Schizosaccharomyces pombe: one gene and its partner. The protein of the gene in region 2 interacts with the protein of the main gene of each other region in a biochemical or structural test. Each region holds a gene or a part of one and is shown on either strand. Other genes may lie near its edges.

What was found.
Region 1: of the proteins of rlc1 (region 2) and shk1, one has a biochemical effect on the other in vitro, tested with the Schizosaccharomyces pombe proteins (one study listed by BioGRID).

Annotation. Positions count from the first base shown.
Region 1 is NC_003423.3:3,901,613-3,908,093, reverse strand, and holds shk1 (PAK-like kinase Shk1), read right to left. Parts: upstream 3,479-6,481; 5' UTR 3,013-3,478; coding exon 1,036-3,012; 3' UTR 501-1,035; downstream 1-500. Other genes in the region: gpi16 (pig-T family GPI synthesis protein), read left to right, coding at 4,037-5,674; SPOM_SPBC1604.16C (G-patch type RNA-binding protein), read right to left, coding at 5,863-6,462. UniProt on the Schizosaccharomyces pombe protein: MAP4K component of the MAPK pathway required for the mating pheromone response. Phosphorylates histone H2B to form H2BS10ph. Phosphorylates tea1. Required for skb1-dependent mitotic inhibitory function. Regulates microtubule dynamics and cell polarity.
Region 2 is NC_003424.3:3,883,856-3,890,793, reverse strand, and holds rlc1 (myosin II regulatory light chain Rlc1), read right to left. Parts: upstream 3,533-6,938; 5' UTR 3,225-3,532; coding exon 2,670-3,224; 3' UTR 2,297-2,669; downstream 1-2,296. Other genes in the region: Hsp90 chaperone, read left to right, coding at 1-2,020; protein Ina22, read left to right, coding at 4,524-4,697; SPOM_SPAC926.02 (uncharacterized protein), read right to left, coding at 4,763-5,950, 6,107-6,250; protein tyrosine phosphatase Stp1, read left to right, coding at 6,703-6,938.

The sequences.
Region 1 (6,481 bases), on a different chromosome or scaffold from region 2:
TGCTGAACAATATTTTAAAAGTTTTCTCAAGGTAAGGCGAACTTAGTTACTGCAGAACTTGATCTTAATTATATAGTTATAAAACGATGCATATAGCCGTTTTCTAAAACCAGTAGACCCAATCACAGATAGATTTACGATCTCCGAGAAAAGAGTTTGAAATAATTGGAAGTCGTCAAAAGGAAACTTAAAGACCAGTTACTTTGGTTTCGAGACAATGCTTAAGAAGTAGGCTGCTGCCTAAATCTATAGTCTGCTGTTGAGTAGTAATAACCCATGTATAACGAGACTCCTCAAATTCACTATTGCTTTGGCTTGACATTTAAATGCTAAGTGCGCTCTCTCTTTATTAAGTCTCGCAGTTTAATGTTGACAATTTTCTTAAGCTCATGAACTACGCTACAATCATAGTCCATTTAATTATTTGAAGTTTTCTACGTATTTGTACTAATTTTAGTAGATCAAAAATTTTGTGAAATATTCCAGCAGGCGTTTCACTTTGAGATTCCACATAATTGAAATTGAAACATCGCTTTAAAAGATTCAAACCTATTTTGACTGATTCAAGATCAATCTCAGAATCATGTACTTACATTTTGAATACTTTGATAAGTTAGTCTTCCTTTTAGTTTTTTTATAATGCATTGCGAATATTAAAAAGTTGAGACTTTTAGAAAGAAGCATTGTCTCATTTATTATAAAAATTATCCAAGTGTCACTGAGATCATTCTTGGCAGTAAGAAAAAAACAAAAAAAAAGGAACAGATAAGTAAAGTATGCACTAGAAAAAGGAATTAAAGTAAAGCAAAAAAGTAGTTAAAATGTACTCTGTTTGAATCTGCCCAACCTGCGGATATGGATTTTAGTGGAGGAGGCAAAAAAATAAACTCAGGTACATATATTCTAACGAACTGCAAAAGCATATTAACGATAAATAAACAATGTGAGAAGAAACAGTTTTTAAGCAAACGTTGGAGGATATTCCGAAACTTCTAACAGCAGATGTTTACTCAAAAACTTTTTTGACAAGTTAGCCTATTTACCAGAATGATGTATGGATTTTATCAAAGGGATAAGGGATGAAACTGGAACGGCTTGCTTAAGAAACGGATGCCTTAAAAGCTCACCGGAGCTAGGGCGTTGCTTAGGATTAACAGTTAAAGATTTAGAAAGAAAATCATGGAAAACAGAACTTAACAATTCTGGCCGACTAATCTTTGGAGTACCAATAGTAGCAATTAAATATAGAGCACGTAAAGGATTTTCGTTTAAATACGGGGGCTCTCCCTCTACCATCTCTATAGCCATAATACCAAGACTCCAGACATCAACTTTGAAACCATATTCCTTTCTAGTAACGACTTCTGGAGCCATCCAATATGGAGTACCAACCATCGTCGTTCGTTTCGTCATGTTACTGTCGATCTGAGCACAAAACCCAAAATCGGTAAGTTTAATATCTCCTTGAAGTGAGAGAAGGATATTGTCTGATTTTATGTCACGGTGAACAATGCCATTTTCATGGAGATGCTGTAAGCCTTCCAACGTTTCCTTACATATTGCAGCTATCTGACCTTCTGAAAGAGTGTTATTGGTAACCACTTCAGTAAGACTGCCACCGCGCATGTATTCCATTACCATCCACAACTCTGATTTATAGAAGAAAGTGTCAATAAAATTGACAATGTTTTTGTGATGATGTGACTTCATCACGAGTATTTCATTGACAATAAATTCCTTTTTTGGCTGTTGATTAATGTTCATTTTCTTGATGGCAACAGAAAGATTAGTGCCGACTTGGCGAGCAGAATACACATCACCAGAAGCACCTTGACCAATTTTAACAAAATTTCGATATAAAAGTGTTGGATTTTTGGGATTGCATATAGACTGTAACTTTGCCAATACAGCAGAATCATTGGATTGTTGTCGAGGTGCACGCTTTTGAAGTCGAGGGGCACTTGGTGCTTCCACTTTTTGAGGAGTCGCAACAGCTTTCGGTTTGGTGCTAGTCTCGGCTCTCCGTTGATATGGTGTCGAGTTATTCGGACGGATATGTTTCGTTTCAGATGTACTTAAGGTTTGAGGCGTTAACAAAACAGGGGAATGACTTCGGATTATATTATCGGTTGACTTGCTGGAAACTAATGGAGAAGGTTGTCGAGAAGCATTAGAGGTAGTAGTTTTAACTGTTTGTGATGATAATAAAGGAGACGATGAAGAACTTGCAGGAGGCGTGGGAGCAGGTCGAGAAGGATACAAACGAGAAGATGAGCTTGTAGCAGAGGTGGGTTGAAGATGAGAACTACTAGACAACGCTGAAACGGAGAGTAAAGGCTTCTCAGTACTTTCACGGGGAAAGGGTGGCTTTGCTCCCTCCTCAAGATATTTCTTGGATTGGGAATAAAAAGCCATAGCGTCCAAAACGGCCTGTGGATGTTGTACTTGTTCCGACTTTGTAATGCCACTGACTTTTAGTAGTGCCTGCCATTCAGTAGGCATTCCAGTAAATTCCCCAGTATCATAATTAAAACCAACGTGAGTGACATGCTTCGGATCAAATGGAGAAGAGATGACAGTCGATTTGCGAGGGCTGGCAGAGCCTGACCCATAGGAACTTGTAGGACTGCTACCACCCCCAGTTAAGAACGAACTCATGCTCGAGACAAAGTTTTCAAACGCAGACTTCTTTTGGTTCCTTTCATCATATGAACGCACATCAGAAACATTAGTCTGAAGTTTTCTAATGGAACTGCTACTATGCTGACGAGAACCAAGTGAAACCCTAGATACAGTTGTACGGGATTGAGATAAAGGGAAACCGGAAAAGGTGTCTTCAGCAAGATTAGTATTTATAGCTGGAGGCTTTGGAGCTGTCCTGCTGGGCTTCAGTTTTCTCAAATCATCTTCTACTTCATAACGTACAGGTTCACCAGTTTTATGAGCAACAATAGGGGTTATTCCATAGCCATTTGGAGCCTTCTTTCGAGGTTGTAAAGTCCCTCTTTCCATAGTAAATAAATTTATTAACGAAAAGGGTAAAGAAAAACAGAAATAGGACTATGGCAAATGTGTTGCAGAACGAAGGAATAAGTTTCAGTATGCAAAAAAAAAACAAAAAGACAAGAATAGAGCACTTAAGTTGAAAAGGATTTTTCTCCTAGTAAGAGGCGCAAAGGGCACAGTAACTTGTGCCGCTGCCACTTTTATGAGGAATCAGTTGTACAGATTAACAACCGAAAAGGAAACTTTTGAAATAGATCCTTTTCAAAAAGAAAAGAATATCAAAGAATCTACTCAATTGACTAAATCTCTATAAATGATAAACTAGAACACGAAGGTCGCGTCAGCACTGTTTACTTGGATAATTTTCTTGATAGTTTAATGTATAGTTCTAAATTAAACAAAACTTATAAGACTTCGGTGGTATACTCGCTGGCGCATAAAGAAGTATAAAGTAGGTTACTGGGTTGTTGGTGAAGATCAAGTTCTAAGCGTAGGGTTGAATGCTACTATCACTTCAGTAGCAAGTTTTGATTCAATATTCACCAGCAAGCATATTATCTTATATTAATTTCACTAATCAGTTAGGATTTATAAAAAAGATCTTTTTGTTATAAAGTCTTAAATCAGTGAATTTGAAAAAGCAAGTTCTTTTTGGAATTCGCCTTTAACATCCCATAACCTACTGAGATATTCTATTTCATTCGACAATTGTGTACTGGCTTTTTGTTTAATTACCATTCTTGCATTTTTTTTATTAAGTGAACGCTGCAATAACTTTTATCTGGTACTGTGATTGTACTCATGAAAGTTAAATCTGATTCACGAATAACTTCGAAAAGTACTACTTAAATTCACATCGAGATCAGTTTGTCCATTAACTGTTTCCTATTTCTCTTAAAAGATCCTTCTATTCGAAAGAAAATCAATTGTTAGGTTCTCATTTGGTCACAATACATCGTATCGCATTAGTTTTCTAATTTTCATTTATTATACTCAAATACTTTTAAATTGTCAGGTTTCTTTGTTAGATATGAAAAAAAACGGATGTTTATTATTATTTGCTTACAGCTTGCTTTCCTTTTCATTAACGGCAGCAACTATAGACGAGACTTATGATGAATCTCTATTCATAAAGAGCTTTTCAAGTCGCTACTCATATGTTTCATTCGCATTTGAAATCGGTGCATCAACTGACAGTACACATTCTTCAGTATTCTCCGAATCAAGCTTCTCTTTGTTTCCTTTATCTATAGCCCGAGTAATGGACGAATGTCAGGTTTCAGAGCTACATATTCGAGCAACCCGTGGTCGATGGGACTATGAAAATTGGAAAGAGTCTCCCGACAATGGTTTTTATTCGGGTGGATTGGGTTTTGAAGTTTGGGCTTTCATGGCGAATGATCCCAGCATGAAGTATTGGTTGAAATTGACTAACCAACTTTCTGGCTTACTTTGTGCTTCACTAAATTATATTGATAGTTCCAACACTTATCAACCACAACTTTCATATCCAGGCTCCTTTTCGTTTTCCAATAACACTCAATATTTTGCTTCGCTCCCTCAAGAAGATGTCTGTACTGAAAACTTATCTCCGCTTTTCAAGCTTCTCCCTTGTAAGAGAAAAGCAGGAATTGCCAGTCTATTGGATAGCCATTTGTTTTTTGATACGGATTGGCACTCCTTTTCCATAGATGTTTATCCTTCAGAAAATCAGTCTCTTGCTTCAGTCAAGATGGGCATTATAATTCAAGCGGTGGTAGATGTAGAAAGGAACGGAAGGAGAAAGGGCAAAACAACTTTTCAACCTCCTTCTGAATATTGCCATGATGAGGATATGGATTCTCTGCATTGTCTAATGTCTGGTTATTCAACCGAACATCATACCGTGGATGATCTTTTTCATAAAGTGCCTAAGGAAAGATGTCTACTTTCCTCAACTTTTTCTGACGTTTTTGTTTCAAATGGCGATAAAATTGACACTTTTAGTTTAGACGAAGCTGCAAATATTCAAATCCCTATTCAATCTACTTCCGATAATCATACAGTCACTGTTGATCGTTCCCTTTCGAACGATGGCAACCATTGGGGAAGTTTGTCTTCTACAATTTACAATCCCTCATCTTCTCCTCGAACTATTGTTTATTTTGAAAAATTTCCTTGGTTCGTGCGCGTGTACTTACATACTTTAACTATCACTTTGAATGGAACACGTATTAATACTAAAGATTTTATTGAAAAATTGTATTATCAACCGTTAAGAGATCGCAAGGCAGGCACGATGATGGAAATCCAGTTTTCAATACCTCCACATACAAATCTGATTGTTCATTTTAATGTAGAAAAAACACCCTTACGCCTAGACGAATATCCTCCCGATGCAAATCGTGGTTACAATCTTCCTCCAGCAATAATCAGCGTGTTTGATGAAAACAATACCAAGCTTTGTAGCCTACGAACTGCTGCGCTTCTAATGTTCATTCCTACACCAGATTTTAGTATGCCGTATAACGTAATCATATTTACTTCAACAGTTATAGCGCTTACATTTGGGGGTATATTTAATTTGCTTACTCGGCGGTTTGTACCTCAACAATCAAAATTTCAAAACAGGCAGCCCTCCATGTTACAAAGACTAAAAGAAAAAATATTTCATAAGAAAAGAGGGTGATGCTATCCTTAATTAATGTGTTTCCACAACAAAACCTCATGAAAAAAAAACATCCAATTGTGTTTTAACTGAACACTATAGATTTATAACCAATCGACTAAACACTATAAAATATGTACATTCAATGGGACAAATTTAGCACACTTAAAATTGTTAATGACGTTTGGACATATGCAAGAAGGATAAACTCAATTAGACGAAAAATGTTTAATTAAAGCTTCTTTAAGGCGTACATCCTTTGAGTGTTGGATTTGGCACTGACGCTTGCCTTTGCGACATTTATTTACTGCAACTTTCTCCAAATCAATCTTGGTACCGAGTCCAATCGTATCATTTTTTACACGAAATGCTCTAACCGGGGCACGACGACCCTGATTTTCCAAACCCAATCCAGCAGTATCTCCTTGGGGAGACCAACCATACTGAGAAAGAACTCGATAACCAAGGCTTTTTGGTTTTAATAAATGGGGTTGAAATTTGTTTGAAATATGTTGTGAAGAAAGAAGGTGAGTCATTGATTTAAAATGATTAATTTTTTTGCTATTTGGAATGTATATTTGACACACTTCACAAGCAAAACCAGCTTCGTCCCTCTTGCTGTTCATAGTATGCGAATTATCCCTATCATTTTCAAATAACGAATGATAAAATGCTTGTGCCGATCCTTTTTCAATAAAAGTGGCTTCGTCCAACGATTGTTCACTAGTGGCTTTTACGAATGAAACCCTACGACCATTTTTATAAAAACCATAAGAATTTGACAGCTCCATATTTCCTTTATTCTCCATTTTCCATCGTTTTTCGAAT
Region 2 (6,938 bases):
TCGTGAGCTTATTTCCAACGCTTCCGATGCCTTGGACAAAATTCGTTATCAAAGCCTTTCCGATCCTCATGCCTTAGACGCTGAGAAGGATCTTTTCATTCGCATTACTCCTGACAAGGAGAACAAAATCCTTAGCATTCGCGATACCGGTATTGGTATGACCAAGAATGACCTTATCAACAACCTTGGTGTTATCGCCAAGTCTGGTACTAAGCAGTTTATGGAAGCTGCTGCTTCTGGTGCTGATATCTCCATGATTGGTCAATTCGGTGTTGGTTTCTACTCTGCATACTTGGTTGCCGACAAGGTCCAAGTCGTAAGTAAGCATAATGACGATGAGCAATACATCTGGGAATCCTCTGCTGGTGGTAGCTTCACCGTCACTTTGGACACCGATGGACCTCGCTTGTTACGTGGTACCGAGATTCGTCTCTTCATGAAAGAAGACCAACTTCAATACCTCGAGGAAAAGACTATCAAAGATACCGTCAAGAAACATAGTGAGTTCATCTCTTACCCCATTCAATTAGTTGTTACCCGTGAGGTTGAGAAGGAGGTCCCTGAAGAAGAAGAGACCGAAGAAGTTAAGAATGAAGAAGACGATAAGGCTCCTAAGATTGAGGAGGTTGATGATGAATCTGAGAAGAAGGAGAAGAAGACCAAGAAGGTCAAGGAGACCACCACTGAGACTGAGGAGTTGAACAAGACCAAGCCCATTTGGACTCGCAACCCCAGTGAAGTTACCAAGGAAGAGTATGCCTCTTTCTACAAGTCTTTGACTAACGACTGGGAAGACCATTTGGCCGTCAAGCACTTCAGCGTTGAAGGTCAATTGGAATTCCGTGCCATTCTTTTCGTCCCCCGCCGCGCTCCTATGGACCTTTTTGAGGCCAAGCGTAAGAAGAACAACATCAAGCTCTATGTTCGCCGTGTTTTCATTACCGACGACTGTGAAGAGTTGATTCCTGAATGGTTGGGTTTCATTAAGGGTGTTGTTGATTCTGAGGACTTGCCCTTGAACTTGTCTCGTGAGATGCTTCAACAAAACAAGATCATGAAGGTTATTCGTAAGAACCTTGTCCGTCGTTGTCTTGATATGTTCAACGAGATTGCCGAGGACAAGGAGAACTTCAAGACTTTCTACGATGCTTTCAGCAAGAATTTGAAGCTTGGTATCCATGAGGATGCTGCTAACCGCCCTGCTTTAGCCAAGCTTTTGCGTTACAACTCCCTTAACTCCCCTGATGATCTTATCAGTCTTGAGGACTACATCACTAAGATGCCCGAACATCAAAAGAACATTTATTTCATCACTGGTGAATCTAAGCAAGCCGTTGAGAACTCTCCCTTCTTGGAAATCTTCCGTGCCAAGAAGTTTGATGTTCTCTTCATGGTTGACCCCATTGATGAGTACGCTGTCACTCAACTCAAGGAATTCGAGGGCAAGAAATTGGTTAACATTACTAAGGATGGTCTTGAGTTGGAAGAGACTGACGAGGAGAAGGCTGCTCGCGAGAAGCTCGAAAAAGAGTATGAGGAGTTTGCTAAGCAACTTAAGACCATTTTGGGTGACAAGGTTGAAAAGGTTGTTGTTTCTAACAAGATTGTTGGTTCTCCTTGCTTGTTAACTACCGGTCAATATGGTTGGTCTGCTAACATGGAACGTATCATGAAGGCTCAAGCCCTTCGTGATACTTCTATGAGTGCCTATATGTCTAGCCGCAAGACTTTTGAGATTAACCCCAAGTCTCCCATCATTGCTGAGCTCAAGAAGAAGGTTGAGGAGAATGGTGCCGAAGACCGCTCTGTGAAGGATCTTGCTACTATTTTGTATGAGACCGCCTTGTTGTCCTCTGGTTTCACTCTTGATGACCCTAGTGCTTATGCTCAACGTATCAACCGTCTTATTTCTCTTGGTCTTAGCATTGACGAAGAGGAGGAGGCTCCTATTGAGGAAATTTCTACCGAATCCGTCGCTGCTGAAAACAATGCTGAGAGCAAGATGGAGGAAGTCGATTAAATCAAATGCATCTAATGTGTCTTTCCAAAATTTATGCATATAATGTTTTTCTTGGATTAAAGCAAGTTATCCTATACATTGTTAACGATTCTAGTGTCTGTTGTCATTCAAAAATTTCTTTCTACACGATTTTTCTTAATACACACTAGATTACAGGTTGTTTGGAAGTTGTTATAATATGGAATGTTGATTAGTAATATTAAAGTTTATGGATACTTATTAGTACATCAAATTTTGTTTTCGAATAATGTAGTTTATACTACTAACAAGTACAAGTTGGTGCTTAAAAGTTATTTTTTTCTAGTCATGTGAGAGCTGTTTTACAAGGTAGGATAATTTTGATGAGGAACATAGGTATGCTGGGCTAATATAGATTTATTCATACATTAATTGAACCCTCGAATGAAAATATGGTTAATGACATTAAGCCTAAGCTCTAACTCACTAAACACTGCAAATAATAGTAAAGTCGCAGAGAGTAGCTAAGTATTGAGACACATAAAGTATAGGTCACAACGAACATAAATGTATCAAATGCTTTCATAAAAAGTTAAAAGAGAAGAGGAAAATTCGTCTAAGGGAAATGGCTCAGGTTAAAAAGATAAAGTATTAGAGGGAAGAATGTGAAACATATCTGGCTGCTCTTAACTCAATTGCTATCTTTTGACCCAGCAATAGCATCAACGAATTTCTCGTAATAGAATACACCATGACTGGTGTACGAGCGTAAAATAGACTCGACTTCTTGAGGATCCATTCTATCACCCATACTTGACAAAGCATCTCTCATAGTGGAAATTGGAATTTTGCCGGATTGAGTATCATCGAATGTAGAGAACGCTTCTAGTAGATCATTTCTGGGGGAGATTCGACACAGCATACTACCCATCGCAGTGAGAAAAGCGGCTAAATTAATAGGCGGATTTATTGACTCAAACATGTGATTGATTGAATCTTCGGAGGCATCCTGATTCAAAGAAGTAAGCATGGTTTTGACATCCTCTCTTCCAATATTACCGTCACCATCTTTGTCTAATAGGGCAAAAGCCTCTTTAAGTTCTTGAATTTGGGAAGAAGTAAGTTGCGCAAATGCACCAGAAGATGCTCGTTTAGCGGCTTGGGCAGCAACTCTTTGAGAAGATGTTGTATTTGATGAAAATGGGGCACGTTTAGCACCTAAGGAATTTTCCTTCGAAGAGAACATCGTTAACAGAGCAAATGATCAAATAAGATATAGTTATGCTGTAAAGTAAAGTACGGAAGAATTAAGAAATGAAAAAAACTGCTGCCCTTACTGCAATAGCGGTAAATATGAATTTTATACACCGTAAGGCGAGGATATCAGCAAGTCATAAAAAAGGAGTCTAAATCAGTCACTAAATGCTAAGACTTGAAATATTCAAAAGGGAAAGCTAAGAATTCTCTAAGTAAATGTATCTGACAATTAGTTGTAAAAAAATCTATAAATAGACATATAGGAAGTAACCTATGATTGTTGATATTCAAGCTCTTGGTAAGTCTCAGAATTTAACATAGGCATGGAATACTGAGAACAAAGGAGATGTTAGTCTTTAATGACCCACGTTTGGTGCCGTTAAAATTAGAGAAAAGGCGAACTCTCAAGGATTTTTTTTTTTAGTATACATTTAGAAGAATTATATTTATCATAGTGTTTTATTTCTTATGATTATTATTTTATATGCTTAATCAAATCTCAATGTTTGATCAACAATGCCATGAGCATAATAATAATTTAATTTCGAGGGGTTAATAAAAGTTGAAACAAACGTAAGCAAATTTGTCAAGGATATAATGTCATTTATAAGTTGTATACACAGTAAAAAGTAGAATCAAAAAGGCCTCTTGAATTAGCGCTTCTTTTGATTTTATTTATTTACACTAATTTCGCTGAGCTGTCAAGGTTGAACAAAAGTAAAACTCAGTTAACAAAAAGTGAAATTTGAATAAATGAGTTAAATCAAATAGGCCTTGAAATATCTTTTTGCGGGCAAAGACTGAGTAGGCTGGGAATGAAGGAAATAAGGAGTATGACTTTAAGAACCAACTAGCATTATTCGGTTGAATTAAACAAATCCTTATTATAAATAAAAAGTAACAATAATAGAAACTGAATAATTTCTGATTTAATGGACAAAACTAGATAGACAATAGAAATTCTGATTTACAGAGATTTAATGAAAGTCAATAAATATCAAAGCATTGCAGAAAATTGATTTACCGTTATCCTACACAGTTCCGTACAGTCAAAACTTGTCTTAATGGTAATCCTTATTTCGAGCGAAAAATATTGATTTTCTTTTTCTCTTTGTCTTTCGGTATTTTGGAGTTTTGATTCTTAAGTGTTCAACGCCTTTAAAAGGCTCAATCATTTGTGATTTATATTATATCGATTAATTACAGCAGCTACTCCAAATACTGAGTCTGAACTTGCACACCAAAGATATTAGAAACAGTTTTTTTTAGTTAAAAGTCAATTTTTTCCATGTTACGTTGGTCATCAACGTATACGTTCGGGCTATTATGGCTCATCATCGGTAGCGAAGCATTTCATCTGAATGCTCTGAAGCAAGATCATTTGGAGCGTATGAAACAATACGATGCAAAAATTCGGCTAGCGAAACATGAATTTGATGATACAAGTAATGAAACAAAGTAAAACTTTATATTTATAATTGGATTCACTAATTAGCCTGCCAAATTAAGTAAGAAACGTCTGTTTCTTTAAATGGTATTGAGAATGTCTTCTTGAGCAACCTCAGTTAAGGAGTCCAGCATCTTAATCGTTTCTGGGTTGGTCAATTTCTGTAGTTGATAATGCTTTAAGACAATCTCCGCAAACGTTCTTGTTGTCTTTTTGGTTGAATAATCACGGAATGCTTTTTCGTATAATACTTTGGCATTTTTATACAACACAAGTTTGGAGTTTTGAGCTACCATGATGGGGATAGCTGCACGTTGAATCTCTAAGTCAGCTCTAGAAATGAGTATTCTTACATGATTAGGATTGTAAGTGTTAGCCATCTTTAAACTTTTGGCAGCTACTCCTAACATATTCCAGGCTCTAGTCATTATTTCAATAGATGCGCTTTCTTCTGTAGATACGCAGGAATCTAGTAGCGTCTCTGCAAAGTCTATGTATGCATCGGCTTTGTCGCACAGCAATTGAATATGCAAAGGTTTAACAGACGAGTTCGGATCCAACGGGTTTTGCAAGTTTAGCTGTGGTAATTGGCTAAGTTGATGGTCAAAAACTTGCAGTAAATCAATCCATGCCACCTCATTTTCTTTACCACCAAGTACTAAACGTTTGGTTTTCGCCAAGTACCAGTCCATTAGCTTTAATATATCGAGTTTTTCCGTAATCGGTAGCATTATCTGACAGAGTTTCTCAAAATCTGATTCTTCAAGTAACTTGCAACTGCATGCTAAAGAAGCAATTTCGGTAACTAATGTCGATGCCTCTTTGTCTGCTTCTATAAAGTATAATCGTCGAGCCTGTATGTCAGGTATTTCTTCATATTTTTGTTGCGACGATGTTTGTATAGTATTTTCCCATTCAATTCTTTCTCGTTCTTGTAAATCAATGCTATGTGAAATGGATTGCAGTGCTTGCTGGATTTCAGGATATGCCAAATCTTCGCGATCAAGATCCACCCAAATCTCAGCCAAATTAAGATGAACCTGCGCAAGGTTGAACCAAATATCTGGGGCCTCTTGTAATAATAAGGCGTGCTTATGCATCTCAATACTTTTCTGGAGGCATACTTGTGAATCTTTGTATAGCATATCGCAGTTTGTAGCCATATTGAGTAGCAATCTTGCTTTATTAAAACGAGCATCAAAATCATTCGGACATTGTAATAAATATCTATCATATGTTTCAAGGGATTTTTGATAAAATCTTAAACACTATTGCTTGTTAGTTTTAATTTCACGTGCTCAAGTATTGAGAACTCGGCGCAAAAAAGCGTAAATTCTATTTGTTTCTCAAAACTAATATTACAATTCGTATGAATGATCATGTTCAAACGTTTTTGAAATTCACCATTATAGCTTTGTACATACCTTTGCAGGTTCCAATCGCCAGCGATCCCCACTTTCTTCTAGATCAATAGCTATTTCAAAGAGTTCATCTACAGTCGGGTTTTTCTTAGGTTTGGCTTTTTTCGTCTTTAGTCCTTTTAGCACTTGATTTCTAGAGAAACTCATATCTGATATTCCAAAAAATGTATGCAAATGCTTAAAACAAAATAAAATAAAAAAGTTATGTATGAGAAATAAAATGCAATATATTGTAATCAGTAAAAATAAAAGATTGTGACAGTCAACATTAATTGGTAATGGACAATTGAGGTTGCACTAATTTGACATGTCTTTGCATTTTCCTCTACTACCTTGAAACGTGAAAATACGATCACTTTCGTTTTACATTCAACATTCCTTAAATATTTGGAAACATTGTAGTTACTTTTTAGTATTTTTCAATATTGTTAAAAACGGGAGGTGCACCTACCAAAAGTTCAAACTTTTTTATTACCAATTAACTGTGGTAAAAATTCGCTTGTCTTTCATTTAAACTTACACCTTCTATAATATCTATACATTACAAATAGAAGAGGAAATTTTGACTCATCAAAAATCCCAAGAATATACTATAAACTATGACCAAGAATATTCAAGTACTTTTTGTATGCTTGGGAAACATTTGCAGAAGTCCAATGGCTGAGGCAGTTTTTCGAAATGAAGTAGAAAAGGCTGGACTCGAGGCACGTTTTGACACCATTGATAGCTGTGGCACTGGTGCATGGCATGTAGGAAATCGACCTGATCCACGAACTCTCGAAGTACTTAAAAAGAATGGCATTCATACCAAACATTTGGCAAGGAAACTTTCAAC